3 linked regions of the Coturnix japonica genome follow. The protein of the gene in region 1 binds, or shares a complex with, the protein of each later gene. Links are inferred from orthologs where the notes say so. Each region holds a gene or a part of one and is shown in the gene's direction. Other genes may lie near its edges.

Region 1 (7,419 bases):
GTGTTGTAACCTGCCACTTTTGACCAAGCTAATGTGGTGGCATCACATGGAGGGGTTCATGATACCAGGATTATATCCACTGACATAAATTATAATCTCACAAAGGCTTGTGAACAGTTCTACATGGGGGAAGAGATAGAAAATTGTTTTCCCCTGTGAAATAATGTATGTGCTGTACAAATAGAGTCTAAGGGGAAGAGATGGAAAAAGAGTTGTAGGGAAAACATAACAAACTGATATTTTCTAATGCTTATTAAAGTGTTATCAGCACTGATTAAAGGCTGTTTTTTTCATAAGAGATAATGAGTAGAATAGCAAAGATTGAGAAACTGAGGCATTTTTTAATTTATTCTGTGATGGAGTTTTCATTTTCTTATAAATAACAGAGATAAGAAACTCAGATACAAGATGTTCTTGTCAGAAGATAATTCAGTTTTACAGAGTTGATGTATCACTAAAACACTAATTTTTGACCACACAAGTATCATTTCAAAGCATCCCCTTGTGCTGTCACCAAGCTGCTCATCAAGACCCAAGTGCTGGTTGGAGCACAGAGTGCCTCAGCCAGTAGGCAGTGCCTCAAGTTATGGGGTTATTTCCACATTCCCAAGGCTCAAATCCTCCATCACGCACTTTACATGTGTATGTGTATGGATTCTTAGTGTGTCTGCAGAGACTCTGAAATAAATGGTGATTGTTCTGGCTTTCCCAACTATGATTGGGAAAGAATACCTAGAATAAAATTCCCTAGAGTTCTACTGACATGAAGTCAATAGGTCTGTTTCCAGTTTTAAGTGGAATATTGAAGGTTTTTTTTGAACAAACCTGTGGAACTCCTGGAAAAAAAAAAAAAAAAAAAAAGCACAATTTATGTTTGTATCTATGGAGGTAAGGAAATCTATTTTGGAGATATCAGGTATAGTCAGGTCTCCTCAGTGCTTCTCTATGGCTGTGGCTAGTGCAGACATTGGGAGTCAACAGAAACAGTAGCAAGACTGGAAGTCATTTATATTTAGCTTGTTTCTGTGTGTGACTGAAAGGAGCTGTTATTTCCATCCCTCAGCCTGGTTGTTATGTTGAGAGTCAGATGGTATTTGTATTCAAAGTCATGAAAAAACAGAATGGATCAGGATGCTTTCCCAGTTGTCCAAGTCACTTGATGCTGTCAGAGCTTTTTGCATATACTGATTTATTTTCCATAAATCAGAAGCAATCAACAATTCATCTAGTCTGGCTGCTGTAGGTTAGGCATAAAATTTAAGCTCTTAATCCTGAAGTAGTTGAATGGATTTTGATTTTTTCTTTGAATAAAATAATTGGGTTTTTTATTAGGTGGTCTTCTGATTGTCCTGAGGTTCCCCATTTTGCTGAGCATCTGACTGCTGCGCCATATACATTTGTTTCCATCTCTTTTTGTCCTGATTAACTGGAGGTGTTAACAGATATGGATTTACCGTCTCCCCTTGTTTAAAAAAAGATAGTAATTTAAAGAAATCACCTAAAAATGACAACAGACTCTTGCCTTAGAACAGTACAGAAATACATGATCTTATCAGAATTTAATGTCAGCTTTTTTTCTGACTGTCCTAAATTTTCTTTAATCTCTCTTTCTTTATTTATTTTTGAATATGATTCTTCATTCAATTGCTTTCTTTTTTTTTTTTTTTTTTTTTTTTTTAGAAAGACTGCAGTCTTCTCTCATCAAATGCTTCTGTAATAATCCTTTTTTGATCCCTCTGTATTACTTCTTCTTGACTTTGACAGTTTTTGCTAGATTCTTGTCTTGGATGTTGTTTTTTTTCCCAGTGTTATCTCTGCAGTTTGAAGTACAACCATTATTGTTGCTCAGAAATGAACTAATGAACTAATTACCATATGATGCTACTTTCTGTATCTTATATTTTATTCACAGCTGTTCCCTAGAACAAAACATGCCATGTTTTCATATATGGAACATACATTTCTTACCAGGACTGTTACTTGGAAACAAAAAAGAGTTGGGGTGATTTCAGCAAAAATTGGAGGCAGGGGAAATCATTTGGATTAATAAGGCACTGATTTTTTTCTTCACCTTGCTACTAAAATGAGTTTGTATTGTTGGTGTGTGTTTCTGAGGGGAAAGGAACATAATAAAGAATTCAGTTACTGAGGAGCTCAATAAAACTTATTGCTAAAATATAGAAGAGAGAATGTAGCAGCCTAAACAAAGGATGACTTCTGGATTCAGAAATGAAGCTTGCCTCCCACTGATTATGTAGTTGTAATCTCTGATTAGTGGTATGATCTTCAGTGTTTCAATGAAATTTTAATGTATTGGGTTGTTTTTGTGGTTTTTTTTTTTTTTTAATGAAAGAAAAAGCAAATAACTATTTTTCTCTTAGAATTAAAGCTTGTGTGATGCACGTGAAATATTAGCCTTTGAAAGGTAACACGTTGATACTCTGAAATCTGACTGATCATCACCACAATTTATACTATGAAAGTTAATGATCAGAGGAGGAGCAGTGAACAAAGGCAAAGCTAATCTGTTCTATCACAGGATCTACAAGATGAAGTAAAACGGGAGAGCAGTAATCTGCAAAAGCTGCAAGCTCAGAAACAGGAAGCACAGGAAATACTCAATGATCTTGATGAGCAGAAGGCCAAGTTGGAAGAGCAACTCAATGATATCAGGCAGAAATGTGCAGAGGAGGCCCACTTGGTAAGGTCTAGTTAGTGGCTTCAGCCCTTAAGGAGAACTGCTGCATTTTGAATATTGCATGCTTGCAGTGTGTTGTGGTGGTTGGGAAAGGAGAAAAATCTTTCAAGATTAAACAGGCTGAGTTTCAGGATTTTGTGACCAGCAGAGACATCAGTTATTTCACTGACTTCTTTATGTCTCAGTGCGCCAACAACTGCAATAAGATATGTTTGCACACATGTAAGGTTGTGTACAAACAAATGACATAAATGTGTAACACAATGTATATGTAACTAGAAACACTAATTACCAGGACTGATTTCTTGGGATTTAAAAAAAAAAAAATTCTAACATAAAATTTCAGAGTTGGTTTTGTTGTGGTTTTTATATATATATATATATCTTTACTATTAGTAATATTTGTATTGGTCAGGAAAACAGCTTAATCTCATTGGGACAAATAGCAAATTAATCTTCTGGTAGAGTATGGTCTGAAATCTCTGCTATAGCTGGTCATAAATCTGGTCATAAATCCTAGCCTTTGCTGGATATATTTGGAGGTGTGGGATATTTTTGGTGTGGTGATGTTGGTTGTTGTTGTTGTTGTTTTCCTAATTTGGCTTTGGAATCCTTGTTTATGCTTTAGATTGCCATGCTGAAAGCTGAAATAACAAGCCAGGAGACAAAGATATCAGCATATGAAGATGAACTGACCAAAGCTCAAGAGGAGCTGAGTCGTCTGCAGCAAGAAACTGCAGAGCTTGAGCATTGCATAGAGTCTGGGAAAGCACAGCTGGGACCTCTTCAGCAACATCTGCAAGATTCACAACAGGAAATCAATTCGGTAAGGCACTGTGAAAAGGGAGGGGGAAAAAAAAAAGGAAAAATAATAATTTAAAATACAAAAAACAGGAAAAAAATGCCAGTGATCACCAGCAGTATGGCCAGCTTCCTTGGCACAGCAGATTCTCAGGTCTACCATATCTCTTCTAGATTAGTTTTGTAGTTCTCTATGAAATTCTATAGTTATATTGTACTTGATTTTGCATGAGAATTACAGCTATATACCTTCCATCTCACATTTAAGAAGGTTAAGTTGTATTCTAGTTTCCATGTACTACTGCGCTGATACACATGCATTATTTCCATTTACAGGTGCAGACAAAACTTCTTGAGCTGAAAGAACTGGAAAGTAACCAATTTAGTTGGCACTCTCAGCCACAGAATGTACTTGTTAATGGAACTGCGGATCATTCTAGTCTCAGCAACAGCAGCAGCGAAACTGCTAACCTTAATGAGAATGCTGAAAGGGAAAGCATAGCTGAAGATGAACAAATAAACAACGTATCCCCAGTGAGTAAAGTGTTTTGCCTGTGTAATTGTGATGCAATGCAGCTGTGAAGTTGGAATAAATTAAGAATGTATTAAGATTGATTGTATTTTGTTTTTAAGCATTTGCAAAGTGAGCTTTCAGGATGTTATTCTGAGGGAGTATTCCAGAGATCTGGAAGTTGATAAGAAAGAAACAGAAAAAGAGGCAACAGAATTCTTTTTGTGCATTTGTTTCCAAAGCTAAATGTCATAAATTGAAGAGCAAAATTAATGTTAAATATGAGCAGCTGTTTCCAATTGGTGCAGCAGAAATAGAATGAAGAATAGTACAGAAATCTGAATGCTGTCTTGCTATTTAAATGTCTATTTTCTTTGTCTCAATTTATCAAACACTTCAGTGTTTTCTAAGTATGAACCTCTTGAGGTATCCTTTAGTATATCCTTACAACAGTTTGGTACTTAAAATGGAGTAAGCAGTGTAGTGCTCTATAAAATGGAGTAAGCAGTGTAGTGTTCTGTTTACTTACATTGAATTGCTTTTATCCTTACGTAGCCAAGAAATAGTCCTGAAACAACAACTGCTGCTGCAGAAGAAGACAAAGAGACTCCAGCTGGAACTGTTACAAGAAAAGTGAGTTTGTTCAAATTTAAGGGAGGAAGAAATGAATGTAAAAACAAAAAAACCCACAAAATAACTAGGGCATGATGCCACAAATGCATTCATCTTATATAGCAGGTTGATTTTTACTGGGGAATGCTGTGGCTCTCTGTTGAGTCTTGATGAATTCAAACTCATTTCAGCTTTAAGAAGTTAATAAATGATAAGAGAATGAGATAAATGTCTCAGACTTCACACCTTTCTTTGCTTCTTTTGGGTTCTTCAGGAGGATCCATTTGATGCTGAATCTCACCCATTGCCTGATATAGTTTCTGAAGCAAGCTTAGAGTTCTTCCAGTCCGACCCTTTTGTTGGCAGTAAGTACACTCTTCTCTCCAAAAATGTGACAGATTAAACTTCTAGTCTTTATGAAATAAATGTGAAAGTACTTGAGTGACAAGAGCCAACAGCAGTACAGAAATATAAATGAGAGTTCTACGGTGTATCTCTTTGCTTTACCTGTGTGGTTTTTTTTCTCTGAGTGCCTCTTTTATTTTTTTCCCCTCTGGAGGTCTCATTTTGGTATTAAAGGTGTGGGCATACTTGTGATACATGTGGTGTCAGTGATCTAATTTGCAGCACAGAGTCACAAACAGGTCATCTGAGGGTTCAGTGAACTGTGGTGTGGGGAGAGTGTGGGTGGCTGAGAGTGAATGGCTGTGGCCTACTTATGGCAAGTTAGGCACTCAAAAAAAGATAATGTGGAACTGTACCATCTGTTCATCTGTGGAAGTGCTATGCTTTATTTTAAGAACTTGCCGCTCAAGAATTCTGTTGCTCCAGTTTTTTTTCTTATAACATTGGAAGGAGTGATCTGTCTGCATAGAGACACTTGGAATATGGGAAGAGTTAATTTGGATTAACTGTTGAAGCAGATGTATGCAGCTAAATAAGCTAAATTTATTTTGCATCACTTGGCTTCTAAAAGATTGCCAATGAAGATTTAGGCTCTAGTTCACCTTTTTCAATTAAAAAGTTGTTCTAAAACTTCAAAGATTTTATTGTGGTTTTTTTTTTTTTTGTTCATATTGAAGTAGTCCTGCTTATGGGACATAACAGCCTTCCTTTCAGAGGAGAAAGATATGTCAGTTAATCAGTCTTCTGGATTTTGTGTGCTCAGTTTGTTTAGAGGTAGATATCTAGAGCTGTAAGACCTTATATATGTGAACTGAGGGAATATACTGATGCATATATATATACTTGCATCCAGTATAGAAATGAACACTTGACGGCTACTATCCACAGTGTCTCTGAGAATTAACAAAAGTGGCACTAAGTTTCCATCAGTAGTTAGCCTGTGTTACTGTGGTGTAAATACTGCACAATGTGGGTCTTCACTGAGAACAGCCAACAGAGATGCCTTTTTCAGATGACTGTTATTGTGCGCTTCGTGCTGCTAATAAATTATGTGATGAATATTTGCTTTGTTATCAGCTCTTGTTCCACTAAAAATAATAAAACAGTTCCTCTGAGTGAGGGCAATTCTAGCTCTAGAAACTTGTTTCTGTGGAAAAGACTTCAACTCAGTACACAAGCTTTATGCTTTAAAATCCACAAGTCACTTTTTCCTTTCAACAGGTGATCCCTTCAAAGATGACCCTTTTGGGAAAATTGGTGAGCAACTTTGTAACTTCTAATGCTTCTTTTCTTGTTCTTTTTCTTTTTTTTTTTCTTTTTTGTAAATGATTCCTAGTAGAACAGTACTTTGGAGGAAAAGTGTCACCGCTTACAGTGTGAAAAAGGTGGTAGTGATTTGAAAAGTCACTGTAGGATGGATATATAGCAGTAGCAGCTGCCCACTTGTGTTAAACCTTTTCAGAGAAGCCTGTTCCCTAGGAACTTCTCTCTTGCTTTTGAAAGTATTCTTAGTGAGGATTTAAATATATGGAGGTGGTAAATGGAAGGCCTCAAATTCAAAGAATGTTTTGTTTGCAGAGGAATAGGACTGTTCTCTTAAAGACTCTTAATTCAGCAACTTTCTGTAGCACAAATATTGAAGAAGATGGGAAGATCTGTTGAGACTGTTTCTTTAAGCAATGTTGTTGCATTACTTGCTCAGTTTTACCAGTGGCAAAAAGGAAATGGGGAGTGGGAAGGCTACGGCAAAACAGCATGGTGCACCCTGTGTCAAATAAGGAAACATCAGTTATGTTGAGGGAGTGAAGGAGAAGAAAATATGAAAGTTCTGAAAATGATTAGTTTATATAAAAATGTTTCTTTGTAAGGGAGCTGAGTTAGAGAAGCTATATATTTACATGGTTCTGCTCCACTATTGGCACAGTATAGTTTTTGTTGTGTGCAGAAAATGTCAGTTTGTCTGATGTTTGAACCATAGAATTCAGATTATTCACAGATCAAGGATTTTTGAAGCATCAAATCTGTCTTTAAATGTGTCACTTTCTCACAGAATGAAAGAAGCAATGTAACATTTCATTTTTAAGATGCAAAGTTAAATAAAGCAAGTAGAATTGTTAATGAGATGTTTCCTTTTTTTAGATCCCTTTGGTGGTGATCCCTTCAAAGGCTCAGATCCTTTTGCAGCTGACTGTTTTTTCAAACAGTCCTCCACTGATCCTTTTGTGACTGCAGGCACTGATCCATTTAGTGCAGCAAGCAACAGTAATAATACCACAGTAAGCTGATCTCTTACTACTATATAGAATGTGGACAAAATTAACCACCTGGTGCATTTGGACCTACCTTAAAATGCTGATACTCAGAAATCATGTAGATAAAACGTATTTCTCAC
Region 2 (8,025 bases), on another chromosome or scaffold:
TTCCCCTGTGCCCTGAATCACACAGATAAGGGAGGACTTCAGAAGGGAAATCAATGTTCACTTGTGTACTTGGGTACTGAATTTTCTATTGTTTTGTAAATTGCTGTTCATCTTTCCTAAGCGGTAAATGTTTCCAGGATACGTTTCTCAATAGCAGGAAAGACAGAGATAAGGCAGGGGTATGAAAAATTAGGTTTGTTTCCAGCTACTCTGTAATGAAATCTTTCATTTCCTGTATTGCATTCCTAATATGCTACGCTGTTGATTCTCTCATACCCTTAATGGGACTGAACCAAAGGTTTGTGGCAGGTAGCTGGCACTGTGCATGCTGCCCCTGAGGGAACCTGCAGCTGCCTGTAAGGGAATCACAGGTCTTCTTAACTCATACATATAAGGGTACACTGCCAGGTACTGGGGAGTCCCATTGAAAGGCTGATTAAGCTGCTAAGTAAATCCAAATGATAAGGGGATCTTTATTTAATTTCTGTGTTTTTCTGTACACTACTGTTCCTTTAACAGAGCACTGTCGGACACCTGGAGGAGAACAGAAACATGCTCCTTACCTGGGGAGTAACTGCATACTCAGTGAAAAAAGGTTTGGAAACAAAAATGGTTTCTCAGCAAGAAATTAAACCCATACCTTCATTCGGTAGCCTGCGGCTTAAGAGAAAGATGACTAAGACAAACAGATTGGGAAAAAGACTTCCTATGAGCTAGAAGAAGTAACATAGAATTTATTGCAATGCAGGAAGTCACCCAGGTGGTTGTCAGCACTGTGCCAGCATGCAGAGGGCAAGGTCAACTTACCTGGAGACTCTTTATTAACCCTTATTTTAACTTGTCCAAGCTCTTTGAGTGTAACTATTCTGTTTTACACTTCTGTATAAACATAGTAGAGTGCATAACTCTTTCAGTCATTGAGTTGCCCACTGTATAGAAGAGATTTAGGCAAATCCATACCTGAAAATTGAGATAGATTTCATGATAGTGGTGTTATCCGAGCTTTGTGCTTCTTAATCTTAAAAGCAAAGTATCTGATATTCTGACATGGCAGAAGGCATTACTGATAAACCTATACTCTCCATCCATAGATAATGAACTTGAGATGTCAGGTAGATTAACAAGATCGAGTACACTTGAGTAGGAGCCACAAATTCTGTTTTCTCTTTAGCTGTTTTTCCTTCCAGTATGGTTAGAATGACCATGAGGGGGAGAAGAAAGCAGTAACTGATGAAGTGAGGGACAATCCTGTCAAAAATAACAAAGGGAAAATAAGAATTTCCTTCTTCTGTGTAGAAATTCATTACAGAGGTACAAAGAGCTGGCAACACGGCTCTATACCACAGTGTGTGACTTCATATCCTAAACACAGTGCTGTCCAAATTATTCTGGAGTGTGATTTTGGCAGACACTCACATAGGGCTGAAGAGTAGCTGTAGGTGGCAGAATAGCTGTGGCAGTACTAAACACAGCATGGACAGTAAATCCTGCTGGCTGTTGGATGATTTCTGGTGTTGAAATTCCTCATAATTATATGTAATCACACTCAAAATTCAATCATGTTTTGGCTGTAGAAACCAAATAGGAATTGAAACTGCAAAGCACTTAAAGCTCCAGAACAAGAGTTAAACTCTGTCTGTAAATTAGCACTCAGCTTTAAGGCAGAGAAGAAATGCAGTGGAAGCTGTACTTCCCACAAACAGACACCAGCTGAAAACCACCAACTTACTAATATTAGTTTTTATAAAGATCAGACTAATTTTTCGAAGTCTTTATACCAAATTGTGTTGGAATTCTGAAGAAGATTAAAGGAACTTATGGATGGCAAAATGCATGGTAGATACTCAAAAGTCAGTAAAAGGAGGTGAATGTAAAATGACTACATAATGTATAGTGTGCACTAAGTTAGAATTGAAATGATTGACTACTGAAAAACCCCAAAGGAGTTCTCTATTTGTGTATTTGCTTTTCAAGCACAGTCACAACTGACACTGCTCCCTCTTTAAAGGTAGTTTTAAGCATGCCTGCACAACTTGCAGCTGCAGTGACAGGAATGCAGCCACACAGGACTGATGCACTCGGCCTTTAGGTGTCACTCTGCTTTTTAAGAGTAGATATTATTAGTTCAACATTTTATTTTGGCTAACTCAAACACAAGTATGTTTGTGTGTTTGTTTGAGAAAGATTTCTATTTTTGAAGTCTTGTGGTTTGAAGATTGTTGTTATGCATCCAGTCTGATTGTAAAGCTATGAATTAAGTCAATTCTTTTCATGTAAGCCTCCATATGCAGGGAATCTGTATCAAGACTGGTTGTGCACAAGAAAATGGATACAGTGATGACTACCAGATATTGCAATCTTCTCTTTGGAATGGATACACAATAACAAAGCACTGGTGTAAAAATGTATCCTGAAAACACACGGAAAAGACCATTGAGAGATGACCTATGCCATATATACAGCCATTACCAGAAAATATTATGTGGGTCTTGCTACATGAGGTTAAAGTGTATCATTATTTGGAGGCACTGAAGCTTTACAAGTTTAAGATGCAAGCTTTAAGAACAGAACATAAAACTACAGGAACAAACTACCCAGGGAAACACTGAAACTGGTGGTTTCAGATCAGGGTTGTATGCCTTTCTAGAAGACAGTCCGCAGCTAAAATCTAATTACTGGTCTCAATTCAGGCAAAAATAAATAAATAAAAGCAAATGGGAAAGAAAAGGAAAAGATGAAGGTGTAGATGAAAATTATCAGCTTGAAGGATGCAAGAAAACATTAAATGAGCAGTCTCTAGTATTCCTTAATGCTTATAGAGGTCTTTATAATGCATTAAGTATGCTGAACCTCTCAACACACTGTTGTTTAGGCATACTAGGTCAGTTTTGATGCTCTTTGAATCTATTTCCAGCTGATGAGATTAAATGCTCCATGCAGTCCAAATTCTCTGGTGTGGGACTGTGTTGCTCTGCTTGGTTGTGATCTTCAGAAGAAGCATGTCTTGCGCACCTGCATGCCCTGGTAGCCAGAAGAGTAGTGAAGAGCCACACATAATTCAGGTCAACTGTATTGACCTCATTGCAGCCTTTCAATACTTGAAGGGAACTTACTCCCAGGAGGGGAGTAAACTCTTCAAAAGGGCTGACAATAGCAGGACATGGGGAAATTGTTTTAAGTTAAAAGAGGGAAGATTTAGGTTGGATGTTAGGGGGAAGTTCTTCACTAGGAGAGTGGTTAGGCCCTGGAACAGGCTGCCCAGGGAGGTTGTGGATGCCACGTCCTTGGAGGTGTTCAAGGCCAGGTTGGACGGGGCCCTGGGCAACCTGATCTAGTAAATGTGTGTGTTTGGTGGCACTGCCAGGCAGGGGGTTGGAACTACATGATCCTTGAGGTCCCTTCCAACCCGGGTCATTCTGTGATTCTGTGACAGGGCTTAGGGCCTACAGTCGGGGCCTATTTGTCCTGATGGCCGTGGAGGGATATTAAGGCTCAGCAGCACAGCTGCGGGGGGGCGGGCGGATGATCGGGCCTCTGCGGGAACGGCCGAGGGGCTGCGGGAGAGGGCAGGGCCGCTGCGGAGCTGCCTCCGCTCGGCAGGGGGCGCCACAGCCACGCCCGCTGCCGCCCGCGGGGGCGCGGGAGCCACCCCGGCGCATGCGCGCTGCAGAGGCGGCGGCTGCAGCGGCCTGAAGAGCCCCGCGGGGTGAGCGGGCGGCGGCGGTGGTAGTTGCGGTGGTTCGGCGTGTCGCTGGGCGGCCCTGATCGCGCGCCACGATGCCGGCGGTGTCGAAGGGCGATGGGATGCGAGGCCTGGCCGTCTTCATCTCCGATATCCGGAACTGTGAGTGGCGGCTGAGGCGCGGCGGGGCCTGGGCTGAACGGGGCCGGGCCGGCGGTCGTTGGGGGCTGTTGTGCTTCGGGTCGGGGCGTTCGTCCCTCATCCGACTCCCCTGTCACCTCCCCGGTGCTTTTCCCTTCTCCCTCCCTCGCAGCGAGCCGCTCTCGGTGATCTACTCACGAAATGGCGACGCGCCCCAGGGGGCGGCGGGAGATGCGGGGGGGGGGGGGGGTGATGAGACAGGAGGCTTTCCATGCGGGAGTGGGGGTTATTTGCGTGTGTATATCGTCGGTTCGGTGCTTCCTTCTCCCCCGCGGTCCCATTTGTTGGGGGAGACAGAGAGAGGAGGTCGATGCCCATCGTTGGAGTGAGGCCGGGGTGGGTGGGTGGGCTTGTGCCGTGCCGCGGGGAGCATCGCGGGTCTCCCTGACCTGCCGGCGGCTGGCGATGCTCAGAGGCACCGTAGGAAAGCAGCAGGCCTCTGCTGGGCCTTCGCTGGCTGTGTTTACGCTTGGCTTAAGCCGCCTTTAAAATTCTGGTTTGACGGAAGACAGCTCTTGGGATTTGCTCAGTAAAAAAAAAAAAACGGATAAAGAGGGCTGCCGGTAGGTGCCCCCTAAGGGATGGGGATGCGACGTCCTTGTATAGGGCATTCTATAGGGAGAGGAGGGGGAGGAGGCTGCTGCTTGGAGGGGGTTGTGGAGGCTAGGGGGTACTTGGCACCCTCCCCTGCCGTGGGAATGGCAGGTGAGAGTAGGTTAATATTAATCTGAGTTAGAGATCTAAGTGTGCAATGTGGCAAGAATTGCCTGGGGAAGGGCTAAGGTCGCTGTGGTTGGTGTGATGAAACGGCTATATGTTTTGTCCACCGGTGTGTCTCTAGGCGGCTATTCTAAAAGGATTGGCACCAAAGTCTCCACTCTGAAGGATGGAAGTGGATTTGGTGGCTGTTCAGAGTGCAAGTTATGGTGCTCTGGGCTTGTATTGGGATAACCAAACTGGCTTGGAGAAGGCTCCTGCTTCAGAGGGCTTTGTGTTGATGGCTTTGGAATTATTCCAGGAGTAACAGAAAAGGCTGCAGAGCAAATTCAACCAATGACATGACACCTCTTAGATGTGCAGTTTTATTCAACTAAATTCAGGTGATTTGGACTTACAGTCATGTAAACAGGAACCGTTGCATGTAAATTTAAGGTCCTGGATCTTCTTAACAGCAGAGGTTTTCTGAACTGAGTTGCAAATCCTTGGATACCTCCTGTAAGCCGCCTTCTGCATGTACAGAACATGTTCATCAGTTCAAGACAACTTTGGTGCTCTTGAGCTTTTTCTGGTTGACCCAGATGTTTCCTGGAGATCTGCAAGTATATTACTATGTTATGCCTGCTACATTTGTAACAGTTTCACCTTGTCATCCAATTTATGCCTGTCATTCTTGTAACTGTTGTTTTGGGATGACTTCTTTCATCTCTTTGGCTAGAAGCACTATGGTTTCTGTTCATCAAATATCTCTTACGTCTTGCTATTGCTTAACACGTTTCTCCTCTCTTATATTCACTTCTATTGGATTTCTCTGAAAACAAGAAAATAGTCAAGCTCTGGGGGTACCTAGCCTATGTTAAAGGATGTGGAATAAGAAGATTGGAGGTAGAAGGATAGAACAAATTAGCTACTGATTTCCTCACAGACTTTCCATTTTGTAAGCAGCGCAGGAATGGATGGAACAACCATCTCTGTTCGATTTGAGTAACAAACCATTCATGCTAGCAGTGTCTGCAAGAGTAGCAAAGATGTAACTAATTTGTGAAACAAATAAGGTGTTAACCCTTTATCGTTCAAACCTACGAAGATGGTTCTGGATTGTTTTGTCTCTGTTGAGGCTGCAATTTGTAGGTTGTAATTACCCCTCTGTATCTTTCTCATCTTCATAATGAAGGTAATGCATCTTCTAAATCTAAATAGTTGTGAAAGAGCTGGTATTTCCCACCAGTAGGTGATCTGTGGTAGCTATTCAATGGCATCTGAATCTTTACTGTTTAGAGAGATTTAAGTGTTGCTGGTTAACCATGGGCTGTTGTATCTAAGATTCCCAAATATACTTAAGAGCACTCTCTAGAAACGTTGTGCTTTACAAGCACTGGTACTGGCTTGAGTTCCACCTTTCCCTTTTCAGAGCAGATATTTGTCGAGAACAAAAAGAAACCGCTGTTCAGTTAAGCAAGATCTTTTGACATGCGAAATAAGAAAATGTTCCTGTTCTGGATGGGAGGGAAGCTGGACACCAAGTGCAGCTGACACTTGTACTGATGTGAAAAATACCTGCTGGCAGTCCCAATTTTCATCTTACTTTTGGCTTTGACTCATTTATCTCTTCTGTAATTCTGCCATATATGACTGAAGTTTGAATTTGTCTGCAGCCCCTTCAGATTATAATGTAAGACTCTTTCTGAAAGACTTTACACAGATAGAGAATTTGCATCGTAGTTGTTGCTGAATATTGAAAATGTAGATATATGTGAACTGTGCTTAGGTGGATGCAGAGCATGTTTCCAAGGTAACAGCATAAAACTTTCAAGAGACGCTTACATAAATTCAGAGCTTTTCTTTTTAGAAATGCTTCGTCATGCAGCAACTTTTATTTCTTGGGCATTTGTACCTACAGTGTCTGTGGCTCTAAACAATGTATCATTCTGTTACAAGTATATTAAATTACTGATCTGGGAGTAATGCCTGTCTTGTCTATCCATTTTTACAAGTCCATTGCAGTGCTTCAAAAATGATCTTTGACAGCAGTTTTTGGTTCTTACAACTAATAGCTGAATGCAAGTGAGTAACAGCTGATGTTGCCTGTCTCTATTTAACAATTAAAAGTTGTGGGTCCCATGTCAACTAAGCATGTTTCTGGCACCTGAGTTATCTGCTTATCTGATAAACTTCTTGATCTCTGTGTTAAAAGCTTGTATGACAGATGTTCTTTGAATATAAGAATGACTTTATATGTGATTTTTATTTTTATTTTTTTTAAAGTCTGCTTACAGTAGACAAGAAAACTGAGTGCTCAACTAAAGCACTTAGTTAAGATAGTGCAGGTAGTTAGCTCTTATTTAATGTGGTTTGCTGAGAAAGTAGCAAGTCATGGCTGTACTGTAAAATAGATTGTGATGGTAGTGGAGCTCGAGCACTGAATCATGGTTCAGTGAAGTGCCATCCAGACTTTAAAGTTCCAATTTGGTGAAGCTCTCATCGCTGCTGCCCTGATGAAGTACCTTATGAGCTAAAGCCCATATAGGATCTCTGTGTGTTATGGATACTGTTCCTTTTCCTTTGGGCTGTATTTATTTTTTTCCTTAGATAAAAACTAGCAGGTGGATTGAAGTTCTATCTCCTCACATAGAGTTATTTCATTAATTCTAATTCTTACTGGATGGTAAGAGGGAGAAAAAAGTTGGTAAAGATGATAATTAGTAGATGAGAGCTGAGATCATTTGTGTAACATCCAACTTCTCCATTAGAGTCACTGGTATCTGCTGAATTTGAAATCCTTTGGATAATGGCTGCTCATCAGGACCAGTAAGAGGAAGTTTAAGACTACTGCAGAGAATACTGCATTGTTTGCATCACTAAATGAGCACATATAGGCTTGTTTTGCTAAGGTTGCTGGAATAGTCCTATTTAGCTGTGATGGTTAAACTGGGTGACTTTGTATAAGCCTCACACTGTTCTCCTGTTATTTGAATGTATACTAAGGTGGGAAAGAGTCCACAGTGTAATCCCTCGGTGCAAATACTGCCTTATTCTGCTGAAGGGGAGTGTAAGTCTACTGTGTAAAAATACTGTTCAAGAAAATGTTTTTTTAAGTACTGATCAGGCAAAGAAGGAGGAAGAGCTGCTTTCCATAACGGCCTTCTATTGTACTTCTGTTTTTGCATATCATCTTAGCTTGAAGCTTTCTTTTGATAGGAGTCGGTGTCTTCTTGCCAACTGAACTGCCAAATGGATGTTGCAGTTGTCATAATGTCACTAAGATACAAGCATCCAGGAAGTTTTCACTTCATATGGGGGAATGCTGGGTGAAAGCCTTAATGCTTGACCCTACTACAGACTGGTTTTCTGAACGTGTGATGCCTGTTTAGACAAAAAAAAAGCAAAAAAGCAAAAAAGCATCCATGTTGAACGCTTAAGATGAT
Region 3 (8,129 bases), on another chromosome or scaffold:
CATGGATATATTGAGAGAGATGGGTTAAGTACTGGATGGCAAGTGCTGCAGAACTTACTTAATTCTTGATTATTTGTAAAGTATATCAATCTACTGAGTTGTGATAAGTCAGAATTTTAAAAATCACCCTCTTCTATACCTGCTACATCACTTCCCTCCAGGACTAAGTCAGAACAGTGTGTTGTTATGTTGTGCTTGAAATGGAAAAATAACTACATTTTTATACTTAAGAAAAAAAAAAAAAAAACCCAAATAAACAAAACTGGACTGGAACAGGTTGCCCAGAGAGGTTGTATCATCTCCTTCTATGGAGATATTTGAGACCTGACTCTATGACTACCTGTGAGACCCTACTGTAGGGTACCTGCTTTAGCAGGAGGGCTGGACTCTTTCTTGAGGTCCCTTCCAACCCCTGAAATTCTGTGATTCTTTAAAATTAGTTTATATGCTTGGTGAATTTTCTGGTAGTTAATTGTCTTCACTGTTGTTGCTGTGATATGTTGAGGACTTGGGCTAAATTTTCATGTAAGTAGTTAATTTTCTCTTGTTCTTGTCAACTTGATTGTTGGGCTGAACAGTCCATCAGGAACTGTAGCTATGCAAAATATAAATTCTACAGTCAGTTGATAATTAGTTTATTGCAAGATTTTTATATGCAGTTGGACTGATCTTCACAAATAACTTTTAGTTTCCTTTGATTGTTTTTCTCTGAGAAACATTGCACAGAAGGGAGGTGCCTATAGTAAGAGAATTCAAACCCAGTGAGATAAATGTAGTGATCTCACTATGCACAGCTGTGTTGGCTTTTTCTGCCACTTTGCTAAACAAATAGCCTTCCCGAATGTCTTATTAGCAGTATGGCCTTCAGTAGAAGATAAAGGGTATAACCAGGCAGAAATTTCTCAGAATGAGAAAGAAGAGGCTCTTAGTTAACGCATATCTCTGAGTTAACTATTTTAGTGAATATGACAGTATATTAACTGTTTTCCTGTATGTTGACTTTAAAAGCCCCTGAAACTTTGCTCTTCACTATTTTTGTCATTCTTGGTTCATAAATTCATGAGAGACATTTTTAAATGCTTCTGGTGTATGTTCAGCCTTATAAAACATAGCTCTTATCTATTTATGTTTTGGCTCAAAACTGAAAACCTCTGTGGTAAATACTGAAAGTGAATAGTTGGAGGAAAATAAATCACTTTATGAACTAAAAGTAAAGTCCCTTCTTAAACTTCTCTAATGTAGCATCTCATTAGTTGGTGGAGAGCTCTGTGGTACTGTGAGATTTTTCTGCAGCTACAGGAAGGAAGTTTTCAAGTCATATGAATGAATTTCTTTGCAGTTTTCAACTGTCCTTGCACTTCTCACTTTCACAATGAAACATTTAATGCTTCCTATTTCTTACACTGACCATAGCACTTATAGCTCTACTATTCCACAAACTTCTCATTTGCTTACATCACAGCCATCTCTGTGGCTACTGATTACAGTAGTTTACTCTTAGATAATGAAACAAAGATGTCTGGATACCTGAGCAAAACCTTTTCTTCTGAAAATGCCCAGTCTATGATTAGGAAATGAAGGTGATAGCTTGTCTTAAAGGAAACAGCACCTTTTTGCAGAGTTATTGGATTTAAACTGACCTCTCATGTGCATCCTTTTTTATACAAGGCAAGGAAGTTAAGCAAGCAATATTGTGTATTTTATCTTACTGCTCTGTGTACTCTCAAGCTCTGGGCTGAGGCACATGCTTGAATGTGTGGCTGTATTCTGTGGGATGTGGTGTAAACAGGTGAGTGAAGTACAGATTTATTTATTTAGTGGCAGGTGCACATTGGTGTTTAAAACATAAGTAGTTCTGTCTGTGCTTCCATACAGTTCTGAGACTGGCTTCTGCTGGGGTGCTACAAGGGCTTAAATCACTCACCAGAGGTTACAATGGCATTTCCTTTCTTAATGAAATATATTTCACCTGGCGAACTGACGTAACTCAGTTAAATCTGCAGAGAAACTTGCTTGAGAATCATTGTTTTGGGTGGGAATAAAGGAGCTTAATTAAGATTTTTTATTATTAATTATTTTTTATAATGCAATGCAGTATTATCTTTAAAATGAAATAACCACAGAATCACAGAACAGCCTGGGTTGGAAGGGGACCTCAAGGATCATGGATCTCCAACCCTGCTACCACAGGCAGGGCATATAATACTAGGACATATAATACTAGATCAGGCTGCCCAGACCCCCATCCAACCTGGCCTTGGGCACCTCCAGGGATGAATGGGGCATCCACAGCCTCTCTGGACAGCCTGTTCCAGAACCTCACCACTGTTATAATAAGGAGTATCCCCCTGATACCCAACCTAAATCTTCTCTCCTTCAACTTAAAATCATTTCCCCTTTGAAAATATCCATATTAAAAAAGAAAAAGCACAAAACCTCATTGCTGAGTGAAAAAAAAAAAAAAAGAAAGAAAGAAAAAGTAGGAGTGTGTGTACTTAAATAGGATTCAGACTGATTCTTGCCTTTAGCTGGTCAGTACCTCTGTTTATTGTTATGATCTATGTTATGATCTCTAACCCTGTAGTCTCATCTGCTAAATTTGCCTGCATCACAGATCAGAATACCAGGAGGAGAATACTGTATTTCTATGGCTAATATGCAACATTATGGTATATACCAGAAAACTGAGGGACACAACCTTTGTTCTTCAAATCCAAGCTATCTGAAGTAGGCAGACAAGGCTCTTCGGAGTGTTTGAATTAAAAATAAATTTTAAAAACCCCTACTTTGATGAGAGGAGAAAAAAAGTATATTCTAACTTCTTACTGAAGACCGCTGACCGCTCCTGCTACCATGCTTACAGCCTCAGTGCTACTGAGTAAAGTTAACCTATAATGGCTAATTCTGATCCTGTCTGGAAGACACAAAGAAGTAAAAAAGAAGAAATGAGGCTCAAGGCTTGACCAGAACCGGGAAGGGGCTGACAGTTTCTGCAGTCCCTTGGAGCATGGATCTCTGCCAGCAGTGAACTGTGCGTAGCCTCTTTGGGAACTTACGCAGGATAAGCTTTGGTGGAGGTGAACCAGCTGCGCCCTCTGCCGCGCGCGGTGCTTTACAGGGTGGCCCTGTGCTGCTGCTGCTCCTTTGAGAATTCCTGGTTCGGCAACAGCTCTTGTCAGGTGAGCTGGTTTTAAACTTACAGAACTTATTCATCTATTTATTTATTTTGCCTTCAGTGACTCCGGTACTAATTAAGGCTGTTAGGATTTGCATGATTATAGCGTTTACGGTTATTAACATTTTTCAGCTTGCAAGCTCCAATTTGCAAGGAAGCTCTTCGGTAAGTGGTGCTTCCTCAGTTCGCAGGAACAATTCTTCAAAGCTGCTGAGGGGCGCGGTGCGTGCACGAGCACCTGCGCGTGTGTTTGTACGCGGTGCCCGTGAGCGTGTCCCCAAGTTGCCTTTCGTTAAAAGCCTCGGCACTGAGATGAGGCTAAAAATTACAGCCTGCATACGCTCATTTGCGACCTCCCTGGGGCTCCCCCTCGCTACAGGTCGGCACCAACGCTGAGCCGCTGCCAGGGAAAGGCGGAGCAGCAGCTCCCGCGGCCAATGCGGAGGCGATGCCGCCGCCCCCCGCGCCGCCGGGGAGCGCCCAATGGCGGCGGCCCCGCACTGCCGGTGTCCCGGTGGGGCGGGCCGGGGGCCGCGCAGAGTGCACCGCCTCCTCCTTCTCCTCCCCCTCCCCCGGCTGTGCCGTGCTCACGGCGGGCGGCGGCTTCGAGGAGCAGCAGCTGCACCCCCGCAGGTAGGTGGTCGGCTGCACGTCGCGGCAGGTCGAGGGAAGGTGGGAGCTGGAGCTGGACTCGGTTCAGGTGGCCCCGGGCCGGGAGCTGGGGTGTCTGCCTTCCCCGGGTGTGTTCTCTGCTGGCTGAGCTTCCCTCGAGCACCGCTTTGCTCTCGTAGAGCTGAGACTCGCCCCCTGTTGTGGTGCTTTTTCCCGCTGGGCTCGTAGTATTGCTCCTCGGTGTGGCCGTTTGGGCCGTGTTCGGCCAGCCCTCCTCGTTTCCCGCACCCTTCTGCATCGCTGCTGGTGTGGGGGAGTGTTGGCAGCGCTGCCCGGTGCCCCGCGTAGGAGCGTTCCCTTGTCCGTACCGCCCCGCGCTGTGTGCTGGAAGGTTAATGAGTGCTGGGAGTAGCGCAGGGAAGCAGTCCGCATCCACCTGCCCCTCCGCTGCTCCGGGCAATTACTCACGGGTTGGGTTTTTCCTTTCTTCATTCTACGGAACTCTGACGCGTTGTCAGTTGCTTTCTCATGTTAAGATAGTAAGAAGGAAAGAGAACTTGCCGATCATCTTTCCATAGTCTATTTCAAGTACCATTGGTAAATTATAGGCTATAAAGGCACAAAGTACATATTTCCATGCCAAGTGAGTTTTTATGCCAGCATACGATCAGAAACGGCTCTCTGCAGCTCGCTTGCTTGTTCTGTGAGCTACATCCCTGTCTTTGCTGGAGCTCTACTTCTCTCCACTGATCCTTGTTCTGTTGATTTACATGCTGTAAGTGGGCACAACTTCTCACCTTCAGGCCCATTATATCATCTTTTCTTTAGTCCGTAGTTTTTCAATGAAAAGCAGAGTTAAAATAAAATAAACCAGACTCCTTCACTGTTGCTTTACAGCTCCATTCTGCAGAACCTCCTGGGCCATTTGATGATAACTGTCTAACAGTCAGCATACAGGATTGGTTGGAGGGCAGGACTGAATTCTGAGTAACCTGATCAAGCTATAGGTGTCCCTGCTTATTGCAAGGGAGTTGGACTGGATAGCCTTGAAGGATCCTTTCAAACAGTTCTGTGTGTCTATATGATTTCTAGTTTTGTCAAGGCAAAAATCTGGCAAACAAGAGCATTTCATTGCTTGTGAATCATCCGATTAATTCTTGCCTGCTGTGAATTTGCATCTTGTACACTTACCAGTTTGGGCATGCAAGCTTCAAAATGTTGGCTGCTCATGTTCCCCAGTGTGTTTGTCTTCAGTTTCTTTTTTCCTTTCTCTGCTCATCTTGAATAATACACATGTGGGCTATGGAGTTTGCCTTAATATTTGGCAGTTAAACGAGTTTGTTATTGGATCAAGTTTGTGTTATGAAAAAGCACAATGATGTGATCCTCACCTTTAGTGGGTTCTATGACGTGGTGTTTTGCAACACCTGCTCCTGGGGGTGTGGGGTCACTGTCCCTGGAGGGACGCGGTTAGTGGGTATGGTGGTGATGGATTGATGGTTGGACTGGATGATCTTAGAAATCTTTTCCAACCGTAATATTTCTAGGGTTCTAACTGATTATAATATGAAGTGGTGTTTGTTATGAATTAGATTGGATCTGTGATATCGTGCTTCGGTCAGGTGATAATCTCTGCTTTTTTCCATACAGCATTACAATTATTTTGTGATACTCCTATGAAACCCCTAGGCACTAAGCAAGTCACAGTAGTTCCCTAGGATGTAATGCCTCATTTTGCATGCATTTAGAAATACAGCTGGCTGCTCCAGTGATAAGTGGTCTTTTATAGTCCTGGCTTTTAAATCATCTTTAAAATGTGAAAACTATCAAGAACTGACCATTAAATGTCTGAGAAGAGAAATGGGCTGTTTTATTGTTGTTCTTGTGTGGATTTTTTTCTCACATGTTGCACTGCATCTTGGTTCTGGCTGGCTGTGTAGCCACTTACGATTCACGTTCTCAGTTCTAATTATCGCTTCCCAGAACACCTTGTTAACTGCAGATCTTCTTCCTATGAGTTCCTGGGAACTGCAGTTATGCCAGTGGCATAATTCATGCTCTGTTGTGTGTTTGGTTTGAATAAAAGTCCAAGGGTTGCAATGTAAGGAAGCAGCAACTGCATCTTCCTGGGACTGGTTTTGACTCCTGAGCATCCACTGGTGCTCCTTACAGCTTTTGGGAAGGCAGTTCAGCTACTGATGTTGTTCACTGCTGGGAAATCCAGACTGTGTGTGGGTTAAGCCATATTGTACGTGGGCTAAATACATCATGTTTAGAGCTCTTCATTTTCAGCTATCTCGAGTCTGGCATCAGCAAACGAGAGGTTTGTAACAGATTTCAATGCTGTTTCTCATCCTCAAGATGTTCGACTCTGTGAGGCTTCTGTCACCTGTTGTAGCAGTGGCTTTTCCCTTCAGCACAGTGCTTACCAAGGCAGAACCAACCACTACATGACCGTGGAGCTTTAATCCTCTTGCCTCAATGCTGCTCCTTGCAACACCATGGCCTCAGGCAGTTTTTGGCCCCAATGTTGCACCAAGGCTTTCTGCAAAGCACTTGTGGGTCTGAGCCTCAAGAACTGTTCAGGTTTGTGCCCCTCGCTACAAAAAAAACACACTGAAGCCTTTGCAGCAGTGACAACCTTGTCTTTGAAAATGGAAAAACTTAAATAGTTATGAAAAACAACAACAGAAACACAGTCAGGAGAGTAGTTATACATCTGTAAGGTTTCATGTGGTGACAACAATCTTGTAATGTAATCTTGCTATGTAGAAGTTGGATGTATATGAGCTAATTCCCTAAGAGTGCTCTTCTGTCAGCCTGGAAAGGAGAGCCCTTGGAAGGAAATTCTCCAGCATTTTTTCTGAATTGCTTGTGTTATTTAAAATGAGAAAAATTCATAAAACACCCAATGACAAAATCAGATGGTTTTTGTTCTCTGATTTCTTAGCATGTTTTCTTTGCAGTTTAACCTTGCTGGGTAGTACTGTAAAGGACTGCAAGTTCTGCTAATGGATAAAATCATTTTACAACCACTAACCTCAAGGGAGGAGTGCCTGTCTATGTGTGCATTAGGATGAGTGTATTTGTCTTCAGTGCTGTGCCTGTGAGCAGGTGCATTTGGATCCTGGGCAGCACAACTGGAAGCCTGTAGCTCATACATCTGAGAACTTCCCCGGATCAGTGTGTAAGTCTTTGAAAGTGTGCTGCAATTCCATCTAAGCGTGTCTATACAGATGCAATTGCTGCCCAAATAGGGTTTATGAATTCCTTATGTGCTGCTGATATCTTTTTTTTTTTTCTTTTCCGCTGTTCATCTTTTAAATGTGCAGATAAGATGAACTCTGTGTATGATCCCACCACTTTCAAAATGGCAGGGTATAAAAATCCTGATAGGAATTGGGGAAAATAAGTCTGAGGAAGAGCCATGGGTGCATATGCATTAGTGTGTTAAAACAGGAATGTACTTCTGCAGTGAACGTCCAGTAATCCACTCTTGTTGCACTTTTCATATCAGAATGCATCAACAGGTTTCATTACAGATGAAACCAAGCCAGAGGACAAATCGCTCTGGGGACTCGCATAATGTTCTCCAAGTGCTAATTCCCTCCACAGGATCTGATTGGAGATTACTTTTTAGAGGCTTCTACTTCAAGTTATGCGTTGTCTCTCTTAATGCCAAGTATTTCACCCTACATCTCTACTCTTGCTGAAAGGGTACCATAAACTTATGTATAATATAACATATGTTATATACGTGTATATAATCTTTTTCATTTTATTTTTTTTTAATTTAACATAATCCTTGATGTATATTTAAACAAAATTATGAGGGAAACAAACACCAGAAAATAAAATTTAAAAAGAAAAGGTTAAGGTACAAGATAACATTAATGCATCTGCTCCTTGGATAGCAACAGAGACAAATGGTGCTTTATGAATAGAAAATACTTTCATAGCAAGTAGGTTGCTGAAATATGTGTGTTTCTTAAACATAAGCTCTGTATGTCTGGTGGAAGGGAGCCATGAATTAAAGAGTTTTTGCTGTCGGCCATGCCTGAAATCCTTCAGTGTGTGCTTTGCTTGATGCAAAGCATTTCCTAAAATGCTGGAAAAAAAAAAAAAAAAAAGAAGAAGAAAAAGTGACAATTGTGAATTTTTACAATGTTATTTGTGACTAAGATTCAGGTGCCCTGGCTTAGGTGTGCAAAAGACTCGCAAGCCTAAGTGAGTTGCCATGGGTCATCACATGGGGAGGATTCACCTTGTTCTAAAATAGACCAGACGAAGGGTTCTCTGGAGGTGTCATCTTCCATCCACTGACTATAAACAGAGCATCAGA

Evidence for each region.
Region 2: the proteins of EPS15 (region 1) and AP2A2 are in contact, whole or in part, in a crystal structure (PDB 1KYU), measured with the Mus musculus proteins. The link is inferred for Coturnix japonica from reciprocal best matches to the Homo sapiens genes EPS15 and AP2A2. Residues at the interface, in NP_031969.1 of Mus musculus: Asp629, Pro630, Phe631, Lys632; in XP_006536218.1 of Mus musculus: Phe442, Phe443, Trp446, Lys447, Asp487, Pro488, Val494, Arg511.
Region 3: the proteins of EPS15 (region 1) and STON2 are in contact, whole or in part, in an NMR structure (PDB 2JXC), measured with the Homo sapiens proteins. The link is inferred for Coturnix japonica from reciprocal best matches to the Homo sapiens genes EPS15 and STON2. Residues at the interface, in NP_001972.1 of Homo sapiens: Leu139, Gly148, Lys152, Pro153, Val154, Leu155, Leu156, Asn157, Ser158, Lys159, Val162, Asp163, Leu165, Gly166, Arg167, Trp169, Glu170, His176, Gly178, Met189, Val192, Tyr193, Leu196, Glu197, Lys198; in NP_001353779.1 of Homo sapiens: Trp309, Arg310, Ala311, Thr312, Asn313, Pro314, Phe315, Glu318, Gln321, Asp322, Gln324, Pro325, Ser326, Ile328, Asn329, Pro330, Phe331, Phe334, Phe335, Glu337, Gln338, Glu339, Arg340.

The regions. Positions count from the first base shown.
Region 1 is NC_029523.1:21,488,709-21,496,127, reverse strand, and holds part of EPS15 (epidermal growth factor receptor substrate 15), read left to right. Parts: intron 1-2,539; coding exon 2,540-2,701; intron 2,702-3,326; coding exon 3,327-3,524; intron 3,525-3,835; coding exon 3,836-4,033; intron 4,034-4,565; coding exon 4,566-4,643; intron 4,644-4,896; coding exon 4,897-4,987; intron 4,988-6,248; coding exon 6,249-6,284; intron 6,285-7,166; coding exon 7,167-7,303; intron 7,304-7,419. UniProt on the Homo sapiens protein: Involved in cell growth regulation. May be involved in the regulation of mitogenic signals and control of cell proliferation. Involved in the internalization of ligand-inducible receptors of the receptor tyrosine kinase (RTK) type, in particular EGFR.
Region 2 is NC_029520.1:9,439,271-9,447,295, forward strand, and holds the start of AP2A2 (AP-2 complex subunit alpha-2), read left to right. Parts: upstream 1-3,656; 5' UTR 3,657-3,777; coding exon 3,778-3,844; intron 3,845-8,025. UniProt on the Homo sapiens protein: Component of the adaptor protein complex 2 (AP-2). Adaptor protein complexes function in protein transport via transport vesicles in different membrane traffic pathways.
Region 3 is NC_029520.1:37,158,385-37,166,513, reverse strand, and holds the start of STON2 (stonin-2), read left to right. Parts: upstream 1-3,696; 5' UTR 3,697-3,808; intron 3,809-8,129. UniProt on the Homo sapiens protein: Adapter protein involved in endocytic machinery. Involved in the synaptic vesicle recycling. May facilitate clathrin-coated vesicle uncoating.